Drosophila melanogaster: one gene and its partners. The protein of the gene in region 2 purifies or fractionates together with the protein of the main gene of each other region. This does not show direct contact. Each region holds a gene or a part of one and is shown on either strand. Other genes may lie near its edges. The genes, in order: CG10077, CG6701, CG4611 and Tdrd3.

What was found.
Region 1: the proteins of CG6701 (region 2) and CG10077 purify together in Drosophila melanogaster (affinity purification with mass spectrometry, with the first as the bait; one large-scale study listed by BioGRID). This does not show direct contact.
Region 3: the proteins of CG6701 (region 2) and CG4611 purify together in Drosophila melanogaster (affinity purification with mass spectrometry, with the first as the bait; one large-scale study listed by BioGRID). This does not show direct contact.
Region 4: the proteins of CG6701 (region 2) and Tdrd3 purify together in Drosophila melanogaster (affinity purification with mass spectrometry, with the first as the bait; one large-scale study listed by BioGRID). This does not show direct contact.

What each region holds. Positions count from the first base shown.
Region 1 is NT_037436.4:6,949,878-6,957,543, forward strand, and holds the start of CG10077 (uncharacterized protein), read right to left. Parts: upstream 6,028-7,666; 5' UTR 5,889-6,027; exon of another isoform or gene 5,876-5,888; intron 5,636-5,875; exon of another isoform or gene 5,620-5,635; 5' UTR 5,512-5,619; coding exon 5,504-5,511; intron 5,293-5,503; coding exon 3,896-5,292; coding exon of another isoform or gene 3,882-3,895; exon of another isoform or gene 1,927-3,881; intron 1,569-1,926; coding exon 1,390-1,568; intron 1,326-1,389; coding exon 453-1,325; 3' UTR 1-452. Other genes in the region: CG9948 (uncharacterized protein), read left to right, coding at 6,358-6,520, 6,577-7,070; Uqcc1 (Ubiquinol-cytochrome c reductase complex assembly factor 1), read right to left, coding at 7,126-7,407, 7,475-7,666.
Region 2 is NT_033778.4:13,974,141-13,982,099, reverse strand, and holds the start of CG6701 (uncharacterized protein), read left to right. Parts: upstream 1-1,934; 5' UTR 1,935-2,072; intron 2,073-2,156; exon of another isoform or gene 2,157-2,681; 5' UTR 2,682-2,759; coding exon 2,760-2,916; intron 2,917-2,982; coding exon 2,983-3,158; intron 3,159-4,250; coding exon 4,251-4,455; intron 4,456-4,519; coding exon 4,520-4,724; intron 4,725-4,795; coding exon 4,796-6,666; intron 6,667-6,725; coding exon 6,726-6,831; intron 6,832-6,896; coding exon 6,897-7,173; intron 7,174-7,262; coding exon 7,263-7,509; intron 7,510-7,689; coding exon 7,690-7,959. Other genes in the region: Ctf4 (chromosome transmission fidelity 4), read left to right, coding at 1-1,552.
Region 3 is NT_037436.4:5,134,639-5,139,187, reverse strand, and holds CG4611 (uncharacterized protein), read right to left. Parts: upstream 2,813-4,549; 5' UTR 2,717-2,812; coding exon 896-2,716; intron 840-895; coding exon 549-839; 3' UTR 509-548; downstream 1-508. Other genes in the region: Tcs5 (Threonyl-carbamoyl synthesis 5), read left to right, coding at 1-508; CG10674 (uncharacterized protein), read left to right, coding at 2,955-3,110, 3,178-3,348; Yod1 deubiquitinase, read right to left, coding at 3,754-4,549.
Region 4 is NT_037436.4:14,785,046-14,790,200, reverse strand, and holds Tdrd3 (tudor domain containing 3), read right to left. Parts: upstream 3,411-5,155; 5' UTR 3,355-3,410; coding exon 3,320-3,354; intron 3,268-3,319; coding exon 3,183-3,267; intron 3,109-3,182; coding exon 988-3,108; intron 883-987; coding exon 613-882; 3' UTR 536-612; downstream 1-535. Other genes in the region: bmm (brummer), read left to right, coding at 4,123-4,282.

The DNA of each region.
Region 1 (7,666 bases), on a different chromosome or scaffold from region 2:
TATGAATAGATACGTACAATATTCGAGAATTGTATAAAGAAATCAAATACGCCCAGGGCTCTGGAAAGATAAATGCCAACAACATCGATGATCGGCACTCGAATGCCCTAACAATTTGACTAAACCAAAAGCTTATCAACTAAATGTGGGGTTTTTGTTTTGTTTTGTTTTGTTTTGGGGGGAACAAAGAGATTAATCAAATTAAAAGCGTATTTGATTCCAGATTAAACCATATTATATAGCTATGATGTGGGCGGAGGAGATCTACACGATACGTACATCACCGACGCTCATCTAACATCTTCCCTCTGAAGTCTCTGGACTTGTGATCGTGACTTGTGTACAATTAATACGGGTGGGTGTGCGGATGTGCGTGTAATGTTCGTGTGGGGAAAGGAAATTACAGTAGAGCTGGTCTACAATCTGGTAGCCTCTATCGAACCGCAGGGCCTCTAGTTCTGCACAGGCAGCGGAGGCGGCGGATAGGCAAAGATGTCGCCGCCGTTCGCCATCATATAGGGTGCCGCCTGCGTGGGCACTGCGTACGGGGCGCGGTAAGAGCTGGCCACCGCTGCAGCTCCTCCGTTGAGCGACACGGTTGCCATGCTGGAGGACATTGAAGAGTACTGGCCATAGGCCTGTGGCTGTTGCATTTGCTGCTGCTGCTGTTGCTGCTGGGGAGTTTGCAACTGTTGTTGCTGTTGCTGCTGGGCCGCCGCCGCCTGCTGCTGGTTCATCGCTGGTGGTGGCATGTTGGCAAAGTTCATGTTGTAGGGCGAGAAACGGGAGCGCTTCTGATCAACTCCGTAGTTTGCAGCCGTCATCGCCGCCTGCACGGATGCATCAGGAAGTAGGTGTTGCTGCTGGGCAGCCTGAGCCTGTTGCTGCTGCTGGTGCTGCGCCTGTGGCGGTCCAGATCCCGGACCATTCTGCGGCTTGTTGGGCTCGAAGCAAGCAGCATTGGGATTGAAACGAGAGAAGGGCACTCCGCCGTTCTGCTGCTGCTGCTGCTGCTGTTGTCCCTGGTAGCCACCGCCTCCCTGGCCACGGTAGCCGCCCTGTCCGCCCTGATTCGGCGGAGAAGTGCGCGGCTTCTGATCGAAGCGTGGTGGTCCGCCAGCGCTGCCGCCGTTAAAGGAGTTGCGATTCATGGTGGCGCCGGGACCATTGTTGTTGCGGTAGTTGTTGCCGCCATTGTATCCACCGCCCATCTGGGGATTGCGGCCCTGATAGCCATTGCCGCCACGGTAGCCGCCACCCATGCCGCCACCGCGCTTGTTGTAGCCACCGTTCATGGCCATGTTCATCAGTTTGGGATTGATGGTCTGCAAACGGAGGAGGTGAGTAAATTTGCCATCGAAAGGATTGAAAGCTACGAGGAGCACTCACCTGGTTGGCCTCGCGCAGCACCTGGATCAAGTCGTTGGCCTTGTTGGCGTTGGAATGCGTAAACAGGGTGTAGGCGGTGCCGGTGTTATTGGATCGTCCGGTGCGTCCAATGCGATGAACGTAGTCCTCCGAGTTCGAAGGATAATCGTAGTTGATCACAAACTTGACATCGTCAACGTCTGTTTGATTTCAATAATATTTTTCATTTCGAATTTGAAAATTGAAGAATGTGAAAAGAAGCGTTAAAATTATCAAATCGAAGCAATGCGTCGAAAATAGGAATCTTTCTCAATACTCAAGAAACTATTTAACAAAAACAAAAAACTTATTTGTGTGCTTGTGTGAGTGGTGTCCGTTTCTGTCTTGGTGTGTGTTTTCATGTCATGGTATTGGTATTAGTGGTTGTTTGTGTCGGTGCGATCATTTGTTTTTCTTGTTAAGTTTGTTAATAGAACTTAAAATACATTTTTGATCGAATTGTCGAATGGATTTTGTCGGTTGGTGTTAGATCGGTTTAAATTTAAATTTTTTTTTTTTGGTATGGTTTTGTACTTTGAACAAAAATTTCGCCATCAATACTATTAGCGTATATTAATAACAATACATCTTTGGCAAATAGACATATGTTCTTTTTATACTGCAGAAATGTGGACCTCGACCTTTTCTTCTCATCATACTTTCTTTTATATCATTTTTGAATACACAAATCGTAATATAAATGTTTAAGCTTAATGCATACAAGAGACGGCTTGATTAAAATTAACATTATAAATAAGAGATGTACATAAATGTGAATGAATGATCAAAGCTTATGATAGAAGGGTGCTGATTTGGTTTAAAAGGAGGAACATACTTCGATGGAAGGGAAGGGGGAACGAGGATGCGGGCATATTGCTATGATTAGGAAGAAATAAATTAGCCTAGTACTTACCCTGGCGATCTAGGGTTAGAATATGGGATTAGAATTAGGCTTACGAATAAGAGTCCCTGGAGATGGTGTCCTCGCAACTGGGCCGTGATGATGGAGATCCCACGGATCTCCGCAATGCTAGAAACTTATAACTCAACCCTCAACTTGTATATATAGCTTTTCTCTTTAACTGCTTTGTGTATATAACTTTTTAACTTTGAACGGGTTTTTTTCTTTTTTGTCTAGTTTTGCCATTTGAAAAATCGAAGTCCATTTCATAAAGTGCTGATGATATTTTTGTTCACACACAAATTTAGGTATTATACATAGAGTAAGGAGCGACGTAATATAGTATACTAGGTACTTTATGATACATAAATAAGCTACAGAAAATTATCATCAGTCAACAAATACTTGGGCCGCAAAATGTTGCAAATGTTACTCAACACATTAGTTACTTCACATTGTTCTAGAAACTAAATAAAAAAAAAACTTAAGATATATATATATAGTTATAGTTAAGGCACGGTTTAATCGCTTTGGATTAAAGGTTAATTTCTTTTGGGTGCACTGAGATTACTCTTTAGTTTGGGTTTTTTGTTTTAAGATTATTTTGCTGGCCATTGACTCCTTGACTGACAGTAAATCGCTTTTTTACAATTAAGTTACTCAAAATGTGATTGACGAGACACAACTAAAAACTATGAGCAAGAGAGCAACAAACGAACTAAAAGTAACAACATCATATAACCAGCAATGCATGGAGAACAAACACATTCCCCTCATTATTTGAGCCCACACCTTTTCTTCGGATTCGTAGAATCATTCAGCAAACTAAAGGGTTCAATAAGTTAGACTTAATGGTCCACCCGGCATCGAACCACTCGAAAATGATTGAAAAATAATAAATGACAATTTTTCGGCTGCCTACAGATTTGAACATGCAATTTAAAAAAAAAATACAAGCGGTCCTTTCCGGTTTTCACGTTTACCAAATAACATTCTTTGATAGATGGTAACCAGTAATGAGCTCATTTAACTCCGCATAGCTACCCAAAACTTCATTTAAAATATAACATAAAATAAAAATTTGTTTACAAATATTTAACCCCCATATCTAACCCCAGTTAATTTCGAACACAGCTAGGCGAAGATTTGCGCTAGAGCTCTTAGATTAGGCTACTGTTTACCCAGCTTAATTAAATTAAAATGAATACAAACAAAAAACTATGAGTATTATTTACACACTGAAGCAAGCGAAGATTCCATCAATGGACCCCAAAATGGGAATCATGCGCTTTCAGCTTCAAATCGTGAATAGCTTGTGAAATCCGGAACAGACCCGAAACGAAAAACCTCCAAAGTTCTGGAAACAGAGCGGAAGGAAGAGCGAAGAGGCTGGGCGGTGTTGGCCGATTCATCGCTGACGGATCGCTGAGACCAGACGAACCAGGAAGGCGTCGACGACGAATCACAAAATAATGAATGAAACCCCACGGGATGCTGATTGATCCACAGGCAACAATTGCTTGGTTACGGAGAGAAAAAACGAAAGTTGGCCCCATTTAGGGCCCCACAAAGGCTACGTATACTCACCGAGTCCGCGGGCAGCCACATCGGTGGCCACCAGTATCGAGTGCCGGCCATTGCGGAAGCTCGAGAGCACAAAGTCGCGCTCCTGCTGCGACTTATCGCCGTGGATGGCGCATGCGCGCCAGCCCTGGCGGGAGATATTGCGCGTGATCTCGTCCACACGCTTCTTGGTTTCCACGAAAATGATGGTCTTGGTCTCGTTCTCCGCCGAGATGTCTGTTAGCAGCTTGATCAGCTTCATCAATTTCTCATTCTCATCGCACACGTCCACGATCTGGAGGATGTTGTGATTGGCGCTCAGCGAAAGCGAACCAATGTTCACCTGTATGTAGTTATTAAGGAATTCCTCGGCCAGCTGGCGCACCTCTTTGGGCCAGGTAGCTGACCACATGAGTACCTGACGGTCCGGTCGGATCTGCTGCATGATCTTTCTGATCTGGGGCTCGAAGCCCATGTCGAGCATACGATCGGCCTCGTCAAGCACCAGATAGGTGCATCTCTTCAACGAGGTGGTGCCGCGCTCGAGGAAATCAATTAGGCGACCTGGTGTGGCAATTACAATCTCCACGCCGCGCTCCAAATCCCTAGCCTGCTGTCCCTTGGGCGCTCCACCAAAGATGCAAGTGTTGCGCACATGCGTGTTGCTGCCAAACTCAATGGCTACCTGCTGGATCTGCTGGGCCAACTCTCTAGTGGGAGCCAGGACCAGGGCGATGGGTCCATCACCGCGCTCCAGGCGCGGCTGGTTATTGATGTGCACCACCGCCGGCAGAACATACGCCAAGGTCTTGCCCGATCCGGTCTGGGCCACGCCCACCAGATCCCGTCCACTCATAGCAATGGGCCAACCCTGGGCTTGAATGGCCGTTGGCTTGGCGAAACCCTGCTTACGGATCTCGTTCATCACGTAATCGGGAAAGCCGCCCTCCTCGAATTCAATACTGGGTGTGGGCACCTGATCGCCCTTGATGGTGATCTCATTGCTGGTGAGGAAGGTCTCTGTTTCACCGACAGTCCTGGCCAGCACCGAATCGCACGGCTTGTAAAAGTTCTTGCGGAATGGCGTAAGATTCACCTCAGACCAAACGATCTTGGGCAAGTGAGCGCCATGATTGGAAGAGCGCTGGCCCCCGTTCTGACCACCGAATCCATCCTGGTTGCGTGGTCCGCCGGGTCCCATGCTAGGACCACCACCGTTCATGCGTCGCTGTCCACCGTTGGCGGGTCCATGACCATTGAAACCTGGGTATGGGGCCGAGCGATTGCGCTGGAACATGCCCGCTCCGCCGGGTCCGCCACCGGGAGCACCACCGCCCATGCGATTGGGCACCATACCGCCGGCTAGGCCACCAGCTCCTCCGCCGCCACCGCCTCCGAAGGCGTTCATCTGTCCGTTGTACCTGCGACGAGCGTTTTGTGCCATAAAATTAGAATTTTGAGCCCTTTAATGCGTTGCCAAAATGTTGAAATTTACACGAAGCGACCTTTTTTTATGTAATTTTCATTTTTTACTGCCATTTTGAATTTATTGATTTTCGACACTCGGCCCCTGGCCGCATGCTAAACCGAAATTTGGGCTTAAAAAATGTGTGCCTGTGTTTCAATACTCACATGTTCATTGCTGGTGTGATGTAAGTGGAAATATAGCTGGCCAAAGTATAGTTTTTTCGGTCACTTTTACAATTTTTCACTCCACAATTTTTTCAGCTTCTACGTCGTCAATAGAGCTGTGGAAAAAATCGGTGTTAATATCGATTGGTTCGATAGGTTAGGTTTTCTGGAAACATCGATTGAATTTTCTAGAAACGATCACAACGAATAGGGAAAAATGTCAAAATATTTGTTAGTAGGAAACTTTTAATATATAAATAATTATTGTGAACGTTTCTAATAATAACAAATTAAATAAAAATAATAACTGAAAAGAATATGGAACACTATTAAGAGCACTTTAGAGCACTATGGTTGCTAGTTTGTAGTTACTTCGTTGTCTAACCAGTATTTTTTTAATGCGGCACCGGTAATTAACAATAAGAACTATTAATTTTTTAAGCAAAACAAAGACGTCTGATATTGTTTGTCTGGAACCTATCGGGTAAAGCAACTTCGATAATAATGGTCAGCAAGAAAAATGTGACCAGCCTATAGAACGACCCAAAAACCAAAGTGTGGACATAAATTGGAATATTACAGTGATCGCTCAATGTAGTTAACCTGTAAATTTCTATCTGTAAAGTAATAACTAATAAACAAGGTTCTAATAATGCAGTTAAAATATAATTTATTATTATGTAATTTCCCTTCATTTGTTAAGTATCTTAAGCCCGCAATTATGACATACAATACGTGCCAAATGGTTTTCGCTTAATCGTAGCTCTGCTGTACTTCATAAGGTAAATAAACATGGCTCAAGCAAGGGATTCTTAATTATCAAGTTCAAGCTAGTTTAATTCAATTTGGTAGCCATGCGCACCAGTTACAAGAAAAACAGACCTTTCGACTTCAAGCTAATTGATCTGGTGGAACCCAATCCTGTGCTCTATAAGAGATCTGGACTCTCGAACTACGATGCCATGAAGGCGAAAACCGATATCTGGGCTCGCATAGCCGAGATGATGGGCTGTGATGGTAAGTCAGCTAATAAAAGAATAAGATATATATATTTAAAGTTATAATCCTCTTAGTGGACTTCTGCCTGATGCGCTGGAACAATCTGCACTATCAGTTTCGCAAGGAGTTTCGCCGCGCGGACACCAGTGGATCCACCTGGCCGTACCTGGAACGCCTGCGATTTTTGGCCGAGATCCAGCCGCCCTCCAAAGTGAAAACCAAACCCAAAACAAACAAACAGGAGGCGACCATCCAGACGGAAACTCCTGTGCAATTTTTGTGGGACACTTTTGAGGATGGGGATGTTCCACAGCAGTCGAGTACGTTCATAATCGAGGAGGTCATCGAGGAGCCCAGTGAACAGATCATCCAAGAGGAAATCATCTACGAGGAACAAGAGCCCGCTGAAATAATCTCGCCCAGAAGCAGCTTTCTCCAGATGGACCAAATACTGGCCCAACTAAAGGAACCGCAGCGGAGAAGGGCAGAACGAAGGATTACAGCATTTCTGCTCAAGTGCCAGCTGCGTGCCTTGAGTAATCAGTCCGTGGAGGACCTTAGCATCTAGTTTCCAGTTCACATACTCTCAAACTTTATTTTTAAAAAACAGAATATAACTAAGATTAAACCTTGCACTTGTCCAATTCCAACCATGCCACTTTCGGCTTGACAATGAACTGATCGCGCGGCAAACTGTCCAGCATGCTGGCCTGCTGGCGGACGTACTTCACCAGTCGCTCGATCTGCGCGTAATCATCACAGTTCATCTCGAAGAAGCGGCGCCACAAGGCGCAGGCCAAAACCCGATCGTCGGACATGATGCCCTCGTCGTAGGCGATTAGGGCCGCTTGGAACTGCTCGGATAAGGTCTCGATTTGCTGACGGGTGCGTGAAGGATTGTGAGCCTGTTGGGAAACACATATGAAGAGCATAAAGATTATATATATAAAGGTGAACTAAAGTAAAACCTACTCCCAATTTCTTGGCGCGTGTGTTAACATCTCCCCACATCGCCTCCACAATGCAGTTGCGCAGGAAGCGTCCATCCTCGCCCGTTTCGGAGCCCTCGGCCATGGAGCGCATCAGGAGTAGCCAAACATGCAGTTCGGTGACCAAGAACCAGGAGTTAAAGGTATTGGGCAGATTGAAGTCGCGGAAAAAGGT
Region 2 (7,959 bases):
ACCCGTTGCCCCGCAAATCAAGCTCTTCAAGCAGCAGACGGCCTTTCAGCCCAGTGCCACACCGGCCGATCTAGAGCATCGCTACATGGCATGGAATGATGTGGGCATTGTTACCGCCCATGTGGAGCCCTCAGGCGATAGCTCCATCGATGTGGAGTTCCACGACGCTAGTATTCACCACGCTCTACACATTAGTAACTACAATCAGCACAATTTGGCCAGTGTGAGCAGTGGAGCTTTGGCATTGGCCTCCAACGAATCCAGCAAGTTAGTAGTCATTGCTCTGGCCGCCGCCGGAAACAAAGAGTGGTCACTCAGCCTCCCGGATTGCGAGAGTGCAGAGGCTGTTGTGGCCACGCGATTTCTAGTGGCTGTGGCCACCAGCTCCAGTTTTCTGCGTATCTTCACCGTGATGGGTACACAGCGTGAGGTGCTAACCATACCAGGACCAATGGTGGCTATTGCTGGACACGAGCACAGCCTAATGGTTGTTTACCACAGTTCCGCGCCCAGTCAGACGCAGCAGCATCTCGCCGCGATGTTGGTGAACATAAATGGATTGAGTTTGCGACAAGAATATCTGCCCGTTCCGCTGACTCCAGGCCGGCAGCTCACCTGGTTTGGGTACAGCGACACCGGATCGCCGAGTATTGCCGACAACATGGGTCTGCTGCAGTTGTATCGCCGGAGCAGCAACGCCTGGTTCCCCATCTGCGACACCATGAAGCAAAGCACCAGTGTGTCGCACAACTTCTTTGTGGTCGCTGTATCCGAGAAACGTCAGATAGTCCAGGCGGTCCTGTGCCGCGGTACCTCCTATCCCATGACCAATCCGCGTCCCATGCTCCAGGAACTGCGTATGCAGATCCCGCTCTGCGACGTCGAAGTGGAAAAGTCCGAGCTGGAGGATGCACTGCTGCGGTCCAGTCTGATGCAAATGGATGGGGCAGAGAAGATGCAAAAGGAGACGGCCATCAAGCTGTTTGCATTGGCCTGCAGCAGCGAGTGCGAGACGCGAGCTAGGGAATTGATCGAATCGATTGCCTGCACTGATCTGCTTCAACTGGCCGTGAAATACGCCACGAAACGTGGACGCATCCACCTGTCCGACCGTCTGTGCGAACTGCTACCTCAATTGGAGGCGGTCCAGGAGGCACGCAAGCAGCAGACTTTGTTGGGTGCCAGCGGCATTGCGGCCACCATTGTTCTGCCAATGACTCCCACATCGGCCTCACAAAGCGGCCCAAAACCCAAGGCCATCGAGCTGAGCTCGGCCAAACGGGGCACCCTGAAGAGATTGGTCAATTCACCCAATATGTTTAAAGCAGCAGCAGCATCGGCAGCATCCCGGCCCTCGACTCCGGATATCACACCCTCTCCGCTGGACACCCAGGAAAACATATTCGGCGAATCGGAATCCGAGGTTCCCATGGGTAAAGCCACCGATCACCGGTCCCCTTTGAATTCGGTTAATCCCTTTGCTATGAAGCGCAAACTGGGCGACACTGGAGTCATCTTTGGATCCGAAAAGCTGAAGCTGGCAAAGAAATAGTCTGTTTGTAGATTGATAAGTAGGTTTAAGATAAATATATTATATAAATAATGTGTAACGTTTATCCCATTCTGTGAGCTACATGTAAAATAACAAATTTTTATTTGAGCTTTTTATGGAACAGAATTGTTAAGGATTAATTTGCTTATTTAAATTTAAAGAATAAAATATACTTTTATTTATATTAAAATGTATATTCTTTAAAAAGCGGAGGGTACAAGTTTATTTAAAATATGATCAATATATTTTTAAATATTTTAAAATTCTACAAATTAAACATTCTGGTCTCCAAAGAATACCGTTGGTATTTTTATCTTTGGAATTAAACCAACCAAATAGTGTGACCAAACTTTGTAAATGACATTAATCGATCGAAACGATCATTTTAGGCTGGATTTTCCACGACTTTCAAGTCAAAGTTATGTGTTCGTTTAATTCTATTTTGTAAATAAGTGTTACACGCTCAAATTCCAACATAAAATTACACACTCATACACATAGGAAAAAACACAATATAAAGGTTAGAAATAATAAGCAAAAAAGGTGCTAGATATATCAAAAAAATAAATATATATATTTTTTAAATAACAAACTAAATTGACAGTTACATACACGTATGTAAGTATTGCGGCAGCGAGTGCTTCCTTTTGCGTTGTTTACGAAATTCTCGCCACTGGAAGAAAGCTAAAGAACTCCGTAATGAATTTCCAGTTCCAGCGAACTGATCACCGCTATTCAGAAGGCTCTCTGCTGCAGACGCAAACACACACACAAGCAGGCAAACACACAGGGACATCGTTAAAATCTAAAGATGGAGAGACTCTATTTCCAATTTAATGTTGAATTAGTTTTCGTTGAAGCCATTTTTTAACCCAACAACTTTTTTAAGAAATCCCCGTCTGGGTAACCCGTGCATATAAAACCCAACGCTCGCGCATCACTCTCTTCATTTGTTACCTGAACGTTACGCCGTGCATTTCGATCGTCAGCTGAATAGTACATACTATATCATATATAATATTTCAACGTGTGTGTGTGTCTGCGTCTTTGCGTTTTGTTCGCGTCAAATAAGTAACTTAATTGCGATTATTCGCAACAACAATTATCGATCCTACCCTTTTTGTTTGAGTGAGTGTATTACAATAACAAAAACATAGAAAAAAACAACAGGAAAAAATCAGTACAAAATAAAGAACATCAAGCCAAAATGACAAAAAATAAAAAGAACATAATCAACAATAACAATGGCAACGCAACCCCGCCGGACTTCCCAACACCGCCACCGACGCCACCGATCAATGCCGGTATCAAACCGCCCGGCACCTACGCCAATGGAATGCCTCGCAAGCCGACGGTTCCGTGGGGTAAGCTATATACTATGTATATACTATATATGATCCATAACATCGGATCACTTTTCACGGGCACAGAGCGCGAGTTGATGGGCTCGTTTTTGCTGGAGATGGCCAGACTCCAGGTGATAAGCGCCCAAACGGAGTGGTACGTGGACAAGGCCAAAATGCGAAAACTATTCGAGGTGCACTTGAACGCCCTGCCCAACAGTAGCGAGATTCGTCAGAAGCTCAGCAGTCAGGGAGCTACGAATGTAAGTTGAATCACATTGATAATGCCTTATTGCTATCCTATTTCCTGTACAGTGAGCACTGCCAAATGAGCTTCGGTCGGGGTTGCCTTAGAAAACTAATAAATTGCATTTTGTTGGTCCGATATGTACATGTGTAGGTCATTCTTTAAAATATGAAATATAATATATTAGGATAAGTATAATCGGATACAAAATGTAAACATGCCTTAAGTTGCTCAATATTCTCGACATTGCATTGCAGACCACTCGATTTCGCTAGTCAAAGCGCGATAAGACTGATTTCGTACTGTATGTATCTATATATGTATGTATGTGGCTTTCCTTTGTCTCGCTCCAGTCCAAACATTTTCCCCGTATTATCAGAGCAACTTTACAACTATTTGCACATACATACGATCGACGTCGTGTGCGATCGCGATTTGCTCGCTTGAGTCTATGAGTCATCTGGGTTCTGGGTTTTGGGTTTCCCCTGCCGGATTATTCTTTCTTTTACACTCAGATGCGCGGAATCTTTGCTGGTACAGCAGCAATCTGATCTAAACAAACGTAATCATTTGTTTATAAATTATAAACATTAACAAATGTACATGCATATTTTGTATATGACTTTAAGTGGATTTCAACTCAACTCAATGCTGAGAGTTCAGTTTAAAAACAGAAATATTATATTGTGTCAAGATCGTATATCTATAGCTCTATTGTTGTGACATACCGCACTTATAGCGCATTGTAATTATTTATGCCGTTAAAATGAAGTACATAGTAACAAGTTTACATCTCCTGCATATGGGTTTTCCATTTCAAAGGGATCGCAACTCGTTTGGGAAAACAGCTTTAGGAAAAGAACACAAAAATTAGAAAAGGAAAATCTGTCATTGTGTATTTCTCTTTGGTGGTCGTATGGTGAAATTCGATATGTGGAGTCAAGTGATTCCCCGTTTTCATTGGTATTTCAATGCCCATACATGCATATGTGCATACATACAGTGCCTATTGCGCCAGTGCAATTTTCTGACCGTTGAGATATAACAATCCTTTTCGGCGATTGATATAAACTATAACATTCGAAATTAAATGCAACATTTTCATTAGATTGGCTCCCTGCTGCATAGGACGAACTTTCTAATCAACACGCCTCGTGGAAACCCCAACTATCGCATCAAAAACTTCTCCTTGATGGACTTTCGCAAGGAGAAGTTCAATTTGCTGGACGAACAGCACCGATTGCGGGGAATCGCCTCCACGACCGATGTGCCCGGAGGAGCACCTGCTGAGGGCAACAAACCGATAATCGAAGGTAGTCTATCCATAATTAAGAAAAAAAATATTCTCATTATGCGTGAGAGTTTTTTTGTTGGCAGAATACAAACTTGACACAGACGTAAAGCCTACGCTTCTAAAATTTCAAAAGAGGCTGCTGCTGCAGTCAGATAAAGATTTCGAACTCCAATCCCTGGGCTGCTATATCTGCCAGGAGAACTTCGAGAAAATTGAGAAGTATGAGGAGCATGTGGAGTACCATGGCGACGAGTCTGATTTTCAGTCCCTCAAAAAGATGAAGAAATAGTAAGTAAATTGAATTATATCTCTACATATGTGAAAAAGGTTAATGTACAATGAGTGCCTCCTTTCCGCAGTCCAACGCCCATTGTGTCCCTGTCCTATCAGACCTGCGTGGACAGCCACTACTTTGGATTCACCTTAAAGACCTTCCGCAAGGATCTGGTGGTGGACAAGTTCATCATAGTGCAGTTACGACAGTTTTACTACGTGTATGGTGCACAAATGCCTCTGCCGGTGAATGGGAGCGGTGAACTTGTGTTCTTCGTGGACTCTCACGTCTTCATGATCCTTCGGGAGCAGCCCATCGTTATCGGGTTCACCATTCAGGGAGAGAAATATGTGGAGCAGCATCACTTCATGCGCACGGAGGCATTGCCCAAGGCTAGCTTCAACATCAATCCCTACCGGCTGTCTAGCAAGGAGACCTTCAAGAGCAAGGGTCTTCCGCCAGCCAATCCACCCATTCAGGTGTTGAGTGCTCTAAAGCACGAGGATGCCCAGATGTGTTTGGCTAGCTTTGATAATCAATATCAGAACTACTGCGAGCGGGGCAGAGAGATTACCCAGGAAAATCTGACCGGGACACTGCGCACATTGCTCCAGGTGGAGGACATCGAACGATTGCAGCATTATCTCTCGCTCAAACAATCAGAAATGGAGCTGCATCAGTTCGGGCGGGAGCTTTCCGTGAAAATGCAAATGGGTACCACCAGTATGAGCGTGGAGGATATCTTATCGCCTGGCGACGATGTGCTAATCATAAACGAGAAGGGCAACCCGAAATCGGCTGTACGCAAGATGTTGGAAAACAACAACAACGTGCTCGAGTTGGCACTCAAGGATTTTGACTCCATCTTGCGGTGGGCTCGCAATGTTGACGGAATGGTCGGATCTCTGGACAAGCAGCCACGAGTCTACTTCGCCCGCATCCTTGGCGTCTCAACGCAGCGGGTTAACATTACTTGTGAACGCCAGTTACCGGACAACACCACCTACACCCTGATCTTCCGTCCATTGCGAGCAGTGATGCGTTATCAGTACCGAGCACTTCAGCAGCTGTCGTTCACCAGGCACAGTGATGTTCAGCGGATCCTGTTTCCCGGTGAAATTCCCAATACACCTTTGGCCAGTGGAGTACTTCAGCTAAACAACAAGTTAATTTCGACCAATCCGGAGCAAATGCAAGCGGTTCGACAGATAGCGTTGAGCCCACGTCTAAAAGCTCCCTACATCGTGTTCGGACCACCGGGAACGGGTAAGACCTCGACCATCGTCGAGGCCATCTACCAATTGTACATAAATCGACCCGAAACGCACATCCTAGTGCTGGCTGGCTCAAATACGGCTTGTGACGAGGTGGCACTGCGACTTTTAAGGGCAATCGCCAAAGCACCACAGAGCCAGCCACGACCGCTAACCCGTATCTTTAGCGCCAATTGCGATCGGCGCATTGACAATATCGACGATTTGCTTCTGGAGTACTCGAACATGTACACTGTGCACTTTTATCCGGCCGTGCAAGCGGTGCACCAATATCGGATCGTGATTTGCACACTCAGTTTAGCTGGAAAGCTGTCTACCGGTGGCTTCGCCGCGAACAATGTGTATACGCATGTGTTTGTGGACGAAGCAGCCGCTTCCACGGAGGCGGAGGTTTTGATGGGCATCACCTGCACCCTATCGCCGACGTTGAATTTGATTCTATCCGGCGACCACAAACAACTGGGACCAGTGCTCCAATCGCAGAGGGCGAACGAATGGGGTCTTGGACTGACCCTCTTCGAGCGACTGCTGCAGAGGAAGTGCTACCAAGTGGAAGAGGATGGCAGCTATAACGCATCGGTGCAGACGCGACTCATCCGCAATTTTCGTTCACATCCGGAGATAGTATCGCTCTACAACAATATGTACTACGAGGGACATCTTCGGACTGAGGCACCCATGGGTGAGCGCTTGTAGTTACCATATAGGATCCAAAAATTATAATTCGTATTCGTATTTCAGAAATTGTTTGTCGCTTCCACAACTGGTTTTACCTGCCCAATGCGACTTTTCCCATCATGTTTCATTCCGTTTTTGGCACAACGATGAACACGAAGAGCTCTGTGAGGTCTGTGCATAAAATGGTGTACAAAACCAAATCTGATATTAATACATGGGATTTCAATTTTGCAGCCTGTGCAATAATAAAGAGATTGATGTTGTCATGGATTACGTGAAGGATCTGATGTATTTCGGCCTCAATGGCGAGAAGTTATTGCAGACTGATATCGGTATCATATCGCCGTACAAGAACCAGTACCAACGTATCCAAGAGCAGCTAAACATGCGAAACTGGTCTCAAATAGATTGCGGTTCTGTCGAATTATTCCAGGGCAAGGAGAAGCATGTGATAATCGTTTCATTTGTGCGCTCCTTTACTCCCAAACTTGGATTCTTGAACAATGAACGGGTATGTATTTGTTTATAAAATAATAGAACTATTCATGAAAAAAAAAAAACATTATTCCATTAAATTAATTATATTGCACACCCGTTTAGCGGTTGAACGTTCTGCTTTCGCGGCCGATTTCGCTGCTTATTCTCATCGGAAATCCACGAACTCTAAGCCAAAACAGTGACTTCCAACATATTATCGAAATGTGCCGCAATCGTAAGACCTTGGTTGGGGAGCAATACCTTAACGAAGATTTTATTACGAATAAAAAGACTGGGGCAAACAACGTCAATAAAGGAGGAGCAGCTGGGGATCAGCCTGCATCCGGGCTAAGGCAACCGCTCAAGCGAAGTAAGTAACGCCAGCAATTTAAGTGTCGCCAGACAAAACAAGCCGATTACAATCCCATGTCGTGGATGTCGGCTCTTTTTGCATGATAATAGCTTTTAATTTGCCGATTGCTTGTTTCTCTGGCGTGATCATCCTTAAATTATATTATCTAACCTCTAACCCGCACCTTATCCCAAACAGAGAACCATGCAAAGAATCCAGTCCAGGACGCCAAGATCTTCTACAGCAAGAATGAGCTGCTTAACCTCGGGAATGAGTGTCAGCGGAAAAAATCTGAGCTCGAAACCATATTCGACGAGTTGCCGAAGGTTCCAAGGTCTGTGGACCACGATTTGGATGAAGTTCGTTCGATAGAGGCCCAACTGAAAGATTTTCAATTGGAAACCAAACAGGACGCCGCAGGAACATCGATTTTAGTTACTAATGCTCCAGTTACTAATGCTGCTGCGC
Region 3 (4,549 bases), on a different chromosome or scaffold from region 2:
AAGATGTCTAGCCGCTGGAATCCTGGCACCAAAGATCCTCCACTCGGACCTCAACACCCACAAGCTGTATATGGAATATTTCGATGCAGCCAAGACTGCCAAGCAGTTCATCCAGGAAACAGTGTCCACTCAGACGGAGGATGAAGCCAAGAAATGTCTGCTGGAGTTCTGCACGCGGATCGGTGAAATCATTGGGAAAATGCACTCCAATCACATTATACATGGCGATCTCACCACATCTAACATCCTCATCAATCCGAAGGGTGGCGACTACGATGTCATTCTGATTGACTTCGGCTTGAGCCACTACAATCAGGCCACCGAGGACAAGGGTGTGGATCTGTACGTCCTGGAGCGGGCGCTACTCAGTACGCACAGCGAACAGCCGTATATCTTCGAGCACGTCCTGGCCGCCTATCGCACAGCGTGCGGTAAGGACGAACAGGCAGTGCTCACCAAGTTCGAGGAGGTGCGAGCACGCGGACGCAAAAGAACCATGATTGGTTAACGAATAATAATAAACTTTATTGGGAGTTAAACTTTTTAGCTTATTCTATCCTCTTCAAAGACTCTTTGGGAGGGTCATCCTTCAGCTCGTGTATCTTGATCTTCTTGATGTACTTTCGCTGTTTCGTTTTGTGCTTGAGCTGCTCGTGCTTGAGTGGTTCCATTCCGTTGACAGGCGGCAGCTTGAACTGGTCATACGGGCGCTCCTTCACCTTGGCAATGGCGTCCTCCAGCTTGAGACCGGACAGTCCCTGCTCCTCGTAGTACAGGCGGTATTTATCACAGAACTTAGAGTGGCCCTTCTTAAAGGCTGCCGTCTTGGTTGATGGATGCTGCATATACACAACAATTAATGATTTAACTAGCAGAAAGTTAGCTATAAACTCACTCTGGCATCAATGGCTCGCGCACAACCTCTGTGAAAGTTGTGCAGGTGCCGCAGGAAGGCTTCATTTGGCTTAAGGCCCTCCTCCAGACTCAACTGAATGATCTCGTTGACGTAGCTAAAGGATTTGTTAGCACATCCCTGCCGCAGCATGGCCCCCAGTATGGGCATGTTCATCTTAATGCCCGCCACATGCATCTGTTCCAGCAGTTCCCTAGCCTCTTCCTGCGTGCGACAACCCAAAGCGAGCACACCGTAGGTGACAATGTCCGGCCGCAAACCCGCCGTGCGAATCATGAGGAGCACTTCCTTGGCACTCTCGTAATCAAAGCGCATGGAACGCTTTTTAATCAGTATGTTGAAGAAGTCGATGTCCGCCTTGAGGCCAATCTTGCGCACAAACGTGAGCAGCTGCTTCTCGGCAGCATTTGTGGGCGGTATCACCTCCAGCATTGCGGTAAATGTCTCGATGTCCGGTGTAATGTTGTGCTGCTTCATGTGCTCCAGAAAGCCAGTGAGACCGCCGAGTAGCAAGAAACGTTCGTGTGGACGTGTCACCTCCTCCAGGGCCACCAGACTGCCCAGATGCGGCTGAGGCAGCAAAAGATTGGGCAGTTCCAGCTCGCTCGCTGTGGTGGCCACCTCAATTTGGGCAGGCAACGTAGTTGTGTTGGCTTCCACACTGGGTAAATCATCTTGCTGACCTTTCTCCAACTGGAGAACTGGTTTCTTTCTAGCAGCTGAGGGCGCAATTTTATCGATAACCTCTCGCATGGAATCCAAGTCACCGAAGCCACAATCCCTTGCACATCTCAGCATTGCATTGAAGCTGTAGTAGTCCGGGCTAATACCTCGCTGCAACATGTTGTGCCAAGTCAGCAGAGCATGCCGGAAACCGTGCTCCGAGTTGCTGGCACACGCCTGCAGCAGAAAGTTGAATGTATCTGCATTCAGTTCCAGCTGGCGCTCCATCATTTCGTCGGCCAGCATGTAGGCGGTGTCCACATCGCCACACCTTCCATACGCCTTGATCATGGCATTGTAGTTTTTCACATTTGGTTCGTAGCCCTTCTCGAGCATGTTCTCCCGCAGGATTTGGGCCTTGGCCAGGCCATCGCTCACGGAGGGAGCATTGGCGCAGGCGTTGAATAGCGAAGTGTAGGTTCCTCCGGTGACTTGAAGACCACGTTGCCGCATCTTGGTGTACAGGAAGAAGGCCTTGCGGGTGTAGCCCGCCTTGGCACAGCCACTGATCAGCAGATTGTATATGTACTTGTCCGGCTTGGCGCGATCCTCCTTTAGCATCCGTTGCTCCAGCACGGCGATGGCCTCATTTAGGCGATTCGCCTTAAGATGGTCCTTAATTTGGCGGGCGTATTCCACGGCTTTTAGTTTCTTTGAGCGCCTAGTGGAATTGCTAAGGAACTCCTCTTCCTCGACATCACCCGGGTCTTCTGTTGCAGCCACCTTGGCATCGCCAAAGGTGTCCGGATCACCAAAATCCTGCACCTTTTTGGTGGACTTCTCTTTGGGTTTCTTTTCTGGCTTAAACTTCTGGTGCTCCTTGGGTGCTGCTGTGATAAGTTCTTCAAAAACTTCTTCGCGAAAAGGATTCTGGTTCCTGTTGGCCTCTCGTTTGGTCTCCAAACCGGCTTGTTGATCCGTAATCCTCACGTGCAGCAGGCGATTTTGTGAGCAAGACCAAGTTGCAGGCAGAATAACCAGCCGGCTGATGTTGTAACTATTTAACCGTCTTCCGGTGGCATTTAATTGCAAGCCACGTATGTGGCAGCTCATTGAACGGCTAATCAACCGCAGAGCCATGTTATCTGTTGCAATTTTCTGTGATTTTTATGTAATTAAAAAAAAACTATTTTAAACGTGCGTGTGGCGGCGGTGTAAATAAAGAAACAGCTGATGAAGGGGCGTTGCCACCTTGTGTCCGAAATGCCAGTCAAATAAGAACGTAAGCAACCTGCACGGCATTCACATTCCACGCAAACATCCATTGCAATCTGACCTGGTTTTTCGATTAAATTGGTGAAAATTAAATAAATTAAAAATGAACATGACCGTGGATCCGCGCCGCAAGGAGAAGATCAACCGCTACAAGGCGCCCAAGAACCAGGGCCAGAGCGGCGGCGCCAACGAGGACATGATGCCGGATTACATGAACATTCTGGGCATGATTTTCTCCATGTGTGGACTGATGATGAAGGTAATAACACCCCAAAGATTACAACCAAGTGACTTGGCATTTATCAGTATGTAACCCACCTACACAGCTCAAGTGGTGCGCCTGGTTTGCGCTGTACTGCTCCTGCATTAGTTTCGCCAGTTCTCGGGCCAGCGACGATGCCAAACAGGTGCTCTCCTCCTTTATGTTGAGCGTCAGTGCGGTGGTGATGTCCTACCTCCAGAATCCCGCTGCCATGACCCCACCATGGGCTTCCTAGCACTGGACCTAAGATAACTATTTTAAATTTAATGTAATTGAACAGTTGAGAGCCTCGGTTTTGTTCGACGCTCAGTAAAAAAGTACGTACGTAGTTGGTTGCCTTGTGAATTCAGGACAGCTTTCTGGAACTTGACCTTATAGCTATATAGGTACCAACTCCAAGACTTGCCTAGTGTAGATGAAGGTATATTTTATTGCATTCCGAAAGGGATTAAAAGGGGACTAACATGAATACAGGCGGCTGGGCTCAATTCAATAATTAATAACTTAGGTAGGCGGTGATGTGGAGGTAGTACTGCTAATGAGATGACTCCTCGCACGGCGATTGTGGCTAGGTGGTGAGCAGGTAGTAGGCGAACAGCATGAATGCCACAATGTAGACGGTGCCGAAGATCAGGACGTATTAAATCTCTCCAAAGTTCTTGTGTCCGGTTTGCTTGGCATGCTCCTGGGCCTGCACCTGGCCGACCAGCCTGACATCGCACTGCATGCAGCGCAGCGTGAATTTATCCACATTGGTGTATTGGCGGGAGGACTGCGCCTCGTTGGCCAACTGCTCGGCCTGCTGATAGACGCCCAGCTCTTCCACCGGGAAGATGGTGGCCGGCGCAGCACTCGGCGATGTCTCCATGTACAGCGGATCGTAGTGGATGCCATCGAAGAGCAGGAAGACACGCAGTCCAAAGTTCTTGTCCTCGCCAAAGCGATTGATAATGGCGTTTTGTATGTCCACCACATCGATCTCAATGCCATAGTAGTTGGACAGTATGGACACTTCGATGGCGCCGCCCCACGAATCCGCCTTCTGTATCCAGGCGCAGTACTCGGCATTCGATTTGCCCAGCACGGCGTCGTTGTAGCTCTGCGGATCGGCGGCCACCTCCTGCGCAATGATGTGACGCATCATTTCGCTGCCCTCGTTGTCCACCTTCCCGTTGAGCACGAATCGTATGCTGGTGAAGAGGCACGAATTGTCCGCCGGCACCACCTTCTTCAGCAGTATGCCATTAAAGTCGCCATTCGGTCCGCTTTCCGTCGGCGCCACTGGCAGCTGGTAGTCTGCTGCCTGGGCGACTGGACCGCCAGCGGTTTCCTGCAGCAGCTGTGCCTCCTCCTCGGCCTGCAGACGACGCGCCAGCGCCTCGTCATCCTCCACGGTGGTGCCGCCAGGCACAGGGGCAGCAGGAGCAGGGGCAGCC
Region 4 (5,155 bases), on a different chromosome or scaffold from region 2:
TGCTCAGCAAGCAAAATTTACTGCGCTGAACCCTTTCCAGCGCGTTTATGGCAAGTCAGCCAGCCAGCTGTACACTTGCTGGCCAATTTGTGCGTACATTTCGGGCTTTTGCACTCTTTTTGCGTTACCTTTGCACTAAATCCTATTGTTTGTACACTACGGACTAATTCTATTTTACATGGTTAAGCACAAAACTATGAGAGAAAATGCACATCACGTCGAAAAATGTTAAAAATAAGTTATGTATGTATGAGGGAAAATTCGCGAAATGCACCAGTGCTGAGCAGCGGCGCGAAATAGTGCTGAACATGTCGCGCAGAAATCAGGGACAATCGATAGTACTGCGCCAGGAATTAATCGAATTCGAATAATGTTTACAAAGAAATGTTAATTACTAAATTATTAAATAAAACTTTGCTTAATTCAATTTTTCACGTTATAGGAGATATATTCACTTAATAGGTAAGACGTAATCAACAGTACGCTTTAAATTATATGAAAGTCAGCAGATTACAAAATACGTACTCATAGTTTTAATATTCTGTAAAGTTGTTTATTCGAAACATGTTAATTGATTTAAATACGTTGTTAACAGGCTGTTACCATGTTGTCTCAATGCTCTCGTTTGTGGGGCGGCACGTAGACTTGCTGCTGCTGCGTCTGACGATCTCCGCGGTAGCGTGAATGTTGCTGCTGCTGTAGATGCGGTTGCTGTTGCTGCAGATGCGGTTGCTGCTGCTGCGCTGAGTTGCTCAGTGGCCTGTTTTGGGCATCGGTGATGGGCAGGATGTCGACCTTCAATACCTCCTCATGGTTTCCATAGCCCATAAAGAAGACCACGCAAGTTTTCTCCGACACGCCCGTGATCTCAGCCTCATAATACTGGAAAATAAAGAAGGAATGATAAGTTAAGTTCAATAGATCAATTTGAATACTTTGTCCTACTACAATTACGAATGTACTTTCAGTTTATCGACCTAAACTCACCCTTCCATCGTCCCAATACTTGGCCATGCACAAGTCGCCCTTCTGCCACATCCACGCATCGCCTGGCACCATGCCGAACTGATCCCGTGGCGCAGCCTGTGGCACAGCCACTGGAGCAGGTTGCGCACGGGAAACAGGAGCGGAAACGGGGCCAAAGGACATGGGTGGCGATTCCTGCTGTTCCTCCTCCTGTTGTTTTTCGTTGGGCAGTGTAACACCCTGGCTCTTTAGAAGGTTCATGGCAAACTCGTTGGCCTCCTTGCTCTGGAAACCCATGATCTTGCTGGGATCGTAAGTGTAGCCATTCGCCAATTGACTGTAGTTCGCCTGCGAATTGTGCCTGGGATTGTGATGCTTTTGGTTGGTTTGAGCCTTCTCTGGCTTCTGCGAATGCAACTGTGCTGGCTGCTGCTGCTGCGTTGTTTCTGTGCCCGATCCCGCCAGGCGATTGGCTTGTCCTCCTTGCTTACGTCGATTCTCTCGCTTTGGCGCACTGCTCACCTTGAGATTAGCTGTTTCCTCGGTTATCTTACTCAAACGGGCGTTGAAATCATCGCCAGCACTATTTGTCGATTTCGCTGCAGAACTCGCCGAAGTTAAGCTTGCTGCCGGCTTGTTTCGTCTGTTGCCATTGGCGTTGCCGTTCTCTGCTCGATTGGAGCCTCCACGATTGCTGCCTCGTTCGCTGCCACGTCGGTTGCCAGTGTGGTCCTTCCCATTGGTTGTTTCATGATCTGGCTTAATCTCGGAATTCGGTTTCAACGATACGTTATCCGAGCCATTGCGATTTGCGGTTTTTACGGTTGGCGTTTCTGGTTTGTAACGTCCAGCTGCACGATCATTGAACGCTCCTCGCTCTCGCGGTGGTCTCTCCTCTTTCGGCGGTTTTTCTTCCCTCGGAGGCCTGTCTTCCCTGTAGGCTCGCTCCTCTCTTGGTGGCCTTTCGTCCCTGCCGCCACCCCGGTTACGGCCACCGCCTCGCGACGAACCCACATGTCCACCACGATGTGCGGCAAAGCTGCTCGATACGTTGTTCTCAAACCTAGAACGATCTGCAAACTTGCCGCCTCCGCCCATAGCTGAAGGTTTGCTCTCGGAATCGCTGAAGCGCGAGCTTCCATATTGCTTAAATGGATTGAAGTGATTGGTAGTGGGTGGGGCAGTCGGAGCGGCAGTTGGAGCGGCAGCGAAGGTTTCTGCATTACTAGCGGCCGGTGTTTCCTTGGCGGGCAGTTTATTGGTTAGGAAATCAAACAGCGTGGTGTTGGCAGCCGGCTTGGGTGCTTCAACTTCGTCCTTGGCGCTAGCTCCACGCTTTCCCTCTCTGGGCGGACGATCTCCGCGTCCCGGACGACCCACGGATTCGATCGGACCCACACCGCCAGCTTCACTGCGTCTTTTTAGATTGTATAGGGCGCGCTCCAAGTTGTTTCGGGTAGCAGATAAGGCACTGCGGGCCTCCTCCTCGCTGAAGCCCTTGTCTAGGATCTTCTTAACATTGTGATCGATAATGTTCTGGCCACCGCCGCCAAAGATCTTCTTGCCGCCGGCCTTGGTGGCCACGGCAATGGCCTCTGTGCGCATGGCATTGAACTCTTCGTTCTCCTTTGCCGGCTTGTCCTTGTCGCCCTCGCCCAGGCTCTTAAAGTTCATTTCGCTTTCGGCGTTGCTATCGATTTTTCGGCCAAATGCCACCCACGGGGGTGGCGCTGATGTCCCATTCAAGGGGCGCCCACTGCGCGCATATCTCATCATGGTCCTGGCCAGATCCCATTTCTCGTAGAGTGCATCCACACGGCCGCCGAGCAGCTGAATTTCACTGGACTTTAGCAGCAGGAATCCCTGCATAAGCTGCAGTTTCTCGGCCTTGAAATAGATCTTGCTTCCGGGAGCCACATTGAGATTCAGTTGGGGAACTGGCTCCAGCTCCAAGGCCTTTATGGAATTCTGCCCATCACTCAGATCCAACTGAAGGAGGCGTGGCGCCGCCTTCGATTCCTCATTCGCCTTGGGAGCGGCAATATTTCGCACACGCTGAACCTGCAGCACAATTTTACCGGGCAAAGTGGCATCTTCGCGTTTCGCGGGCAGTGCGCCACCGCCAATATCGCGCAGATCTCGCTGCAAAGTGTGAGTAATAGGTTATAATTAATAATTACACAGAATGCTGAGCAGCCGGTTCGCCTACAACTCACATTCAGTGCATCATTGACTATTTTCCGGACATCCTCGCTGCCGACGGCTGTTGTCACGATTTTAAGGCCCTCCTCTGTCAGGTACCTGCGTAAATCGTTAAGAAGCATTGTATGCCACAATTTAAAATTGTACTTACCACCCGACTTCTCGTAGTTTCTTGCCTAATTCCATTTTTTCATGAAGACGATTTTTTTGCAACTCCGGACTAGGGATGACAAAAGTATTAGATGTGTGTACTCGCTAGTGATGTGCTTGGCGGCAACTATCGGCTGACGGTGCATACTATTATCGTTTAAGTTTAGGTTGTTTAGTAATATTAAATGCTTTCTTAAAATCTAAAAATTTTAATATTTCTTGCACACTTATTCAAATTAAATATAATATATATATTATGTCCCAAGAGATAATGTCAAAATTGGGTGCAACACATATACTAGCATATATATTTTTGATAGATGTACTTATATATCGATAATTAAATTTTATCAGTTATAAAGAATTGGCATTATAAATCGATTTAAAGTCGTAATATCTACATGTTTAGAACAAACAAAAGAGTACCCTATACGCACAGCCACTCTAATGACAGTTCTAGTTTAGGTGGTAAAGCGAATAAAATGCGGTCACACCGCGCCGCAATGAATGTATAAAAGGGGGCTGCCATCCGCAGAGCGAGTAAATAACGGTTCGCGAGCAACAACTTTTCATTTCGAGAGCGGAGTAATTTTTCCAGCCGACCGACAAACAGTGATTGAAAACCCAAACGAGATTTATTTCGAAACGCGACAAGAAATTGTTACATCAAAGGAGCTGCAACGACTAAAATCCGCGAAGAAAGTGCGAGAAAATACCTTAAAGAGAGAAAAAACCAGTGACGCAGTAGCAACAACAACAAACAGTCATCGAACGATTTATAGAATCTAACGCCGAGTCCAAAGCATGAATCTATCATTCGCTGGCTGCGGATTCCTGGGCATCTACCACGTCGGAGTGGCCGTCTGCTTCAAGAAGTATGCACCGCATCTGTTGCTGGAGAAGATCGGAGGCGCTTCGGCCGGTTCCCTGGCCGCCTGCTGTCTCCTCTGCGATTTGCCATTGGGTAAGTCTCTTCCCACTTGCTTACATGGGTGGGTCTAGAGAGGGAAGCTTTCGGAATCATTAAGATCTGCCAACTATATGATAGCGATTCTCCAAGGCGAAACAAAAATAAATTTTTTATTTTGCTTTGCATAAATCTTAATTTGTTAAGTTTCTTGTTTCTTTTCACACTCCGCGTCTGAACTTGGCCTTTGCACAATGTTTTCTGCTTGGGAAAACCCCTGTGAATATTTTCTGCACCCCTCTGGTGTTTTCTCTACTGCTCTCCCCTCTTCGTGCAGAATGCACACACACGAACACACTCACACTTGCGTTCGCAAAACAGCTGAGTGCAAAAGCAACCACACTGGGCAGTTCAGTGACTCTGTGAGTGGGAGTGAGAAAGAGAGCGAGTGGGAGTGGGAGAGCGCGAAAGATGCTGCGAGGCTCAATATAAAACGCATTGAATTGAATTTTATTGATAAGCTTGTTTGCGTTTGTAGGTCGCTAGGAAGTCAATGGGGATCTTTCATAATTGACTGCGATAGTGTGTGTGTGTTTTTGGGCGTGTTTGTCCAATTTCGAAGGGGGCTCGTCCCATCCGCTCAAAAGAAAACTGCGGCGCAGTTGAAAAACCTTACGAAAACAGAAAAACAAGTTTCGTATGCCCGGGACAACGCACTTTTGTAAAGCGGCACCCGAATATATGGGCAAATGGTTGGGCACAGCGGTGGGTATATGAATAGCAACGCAGTCCGAAAACATTTCATCAAATACTTTTGCAAAGAGAATAAACTAAATACTTATGCTATGAGATTAGCCAGAAACTTTATAAATCTAAATTGAAGATAAAATCACTCACAGCATATCTTATCTTCAATTGCCAATATTAAAT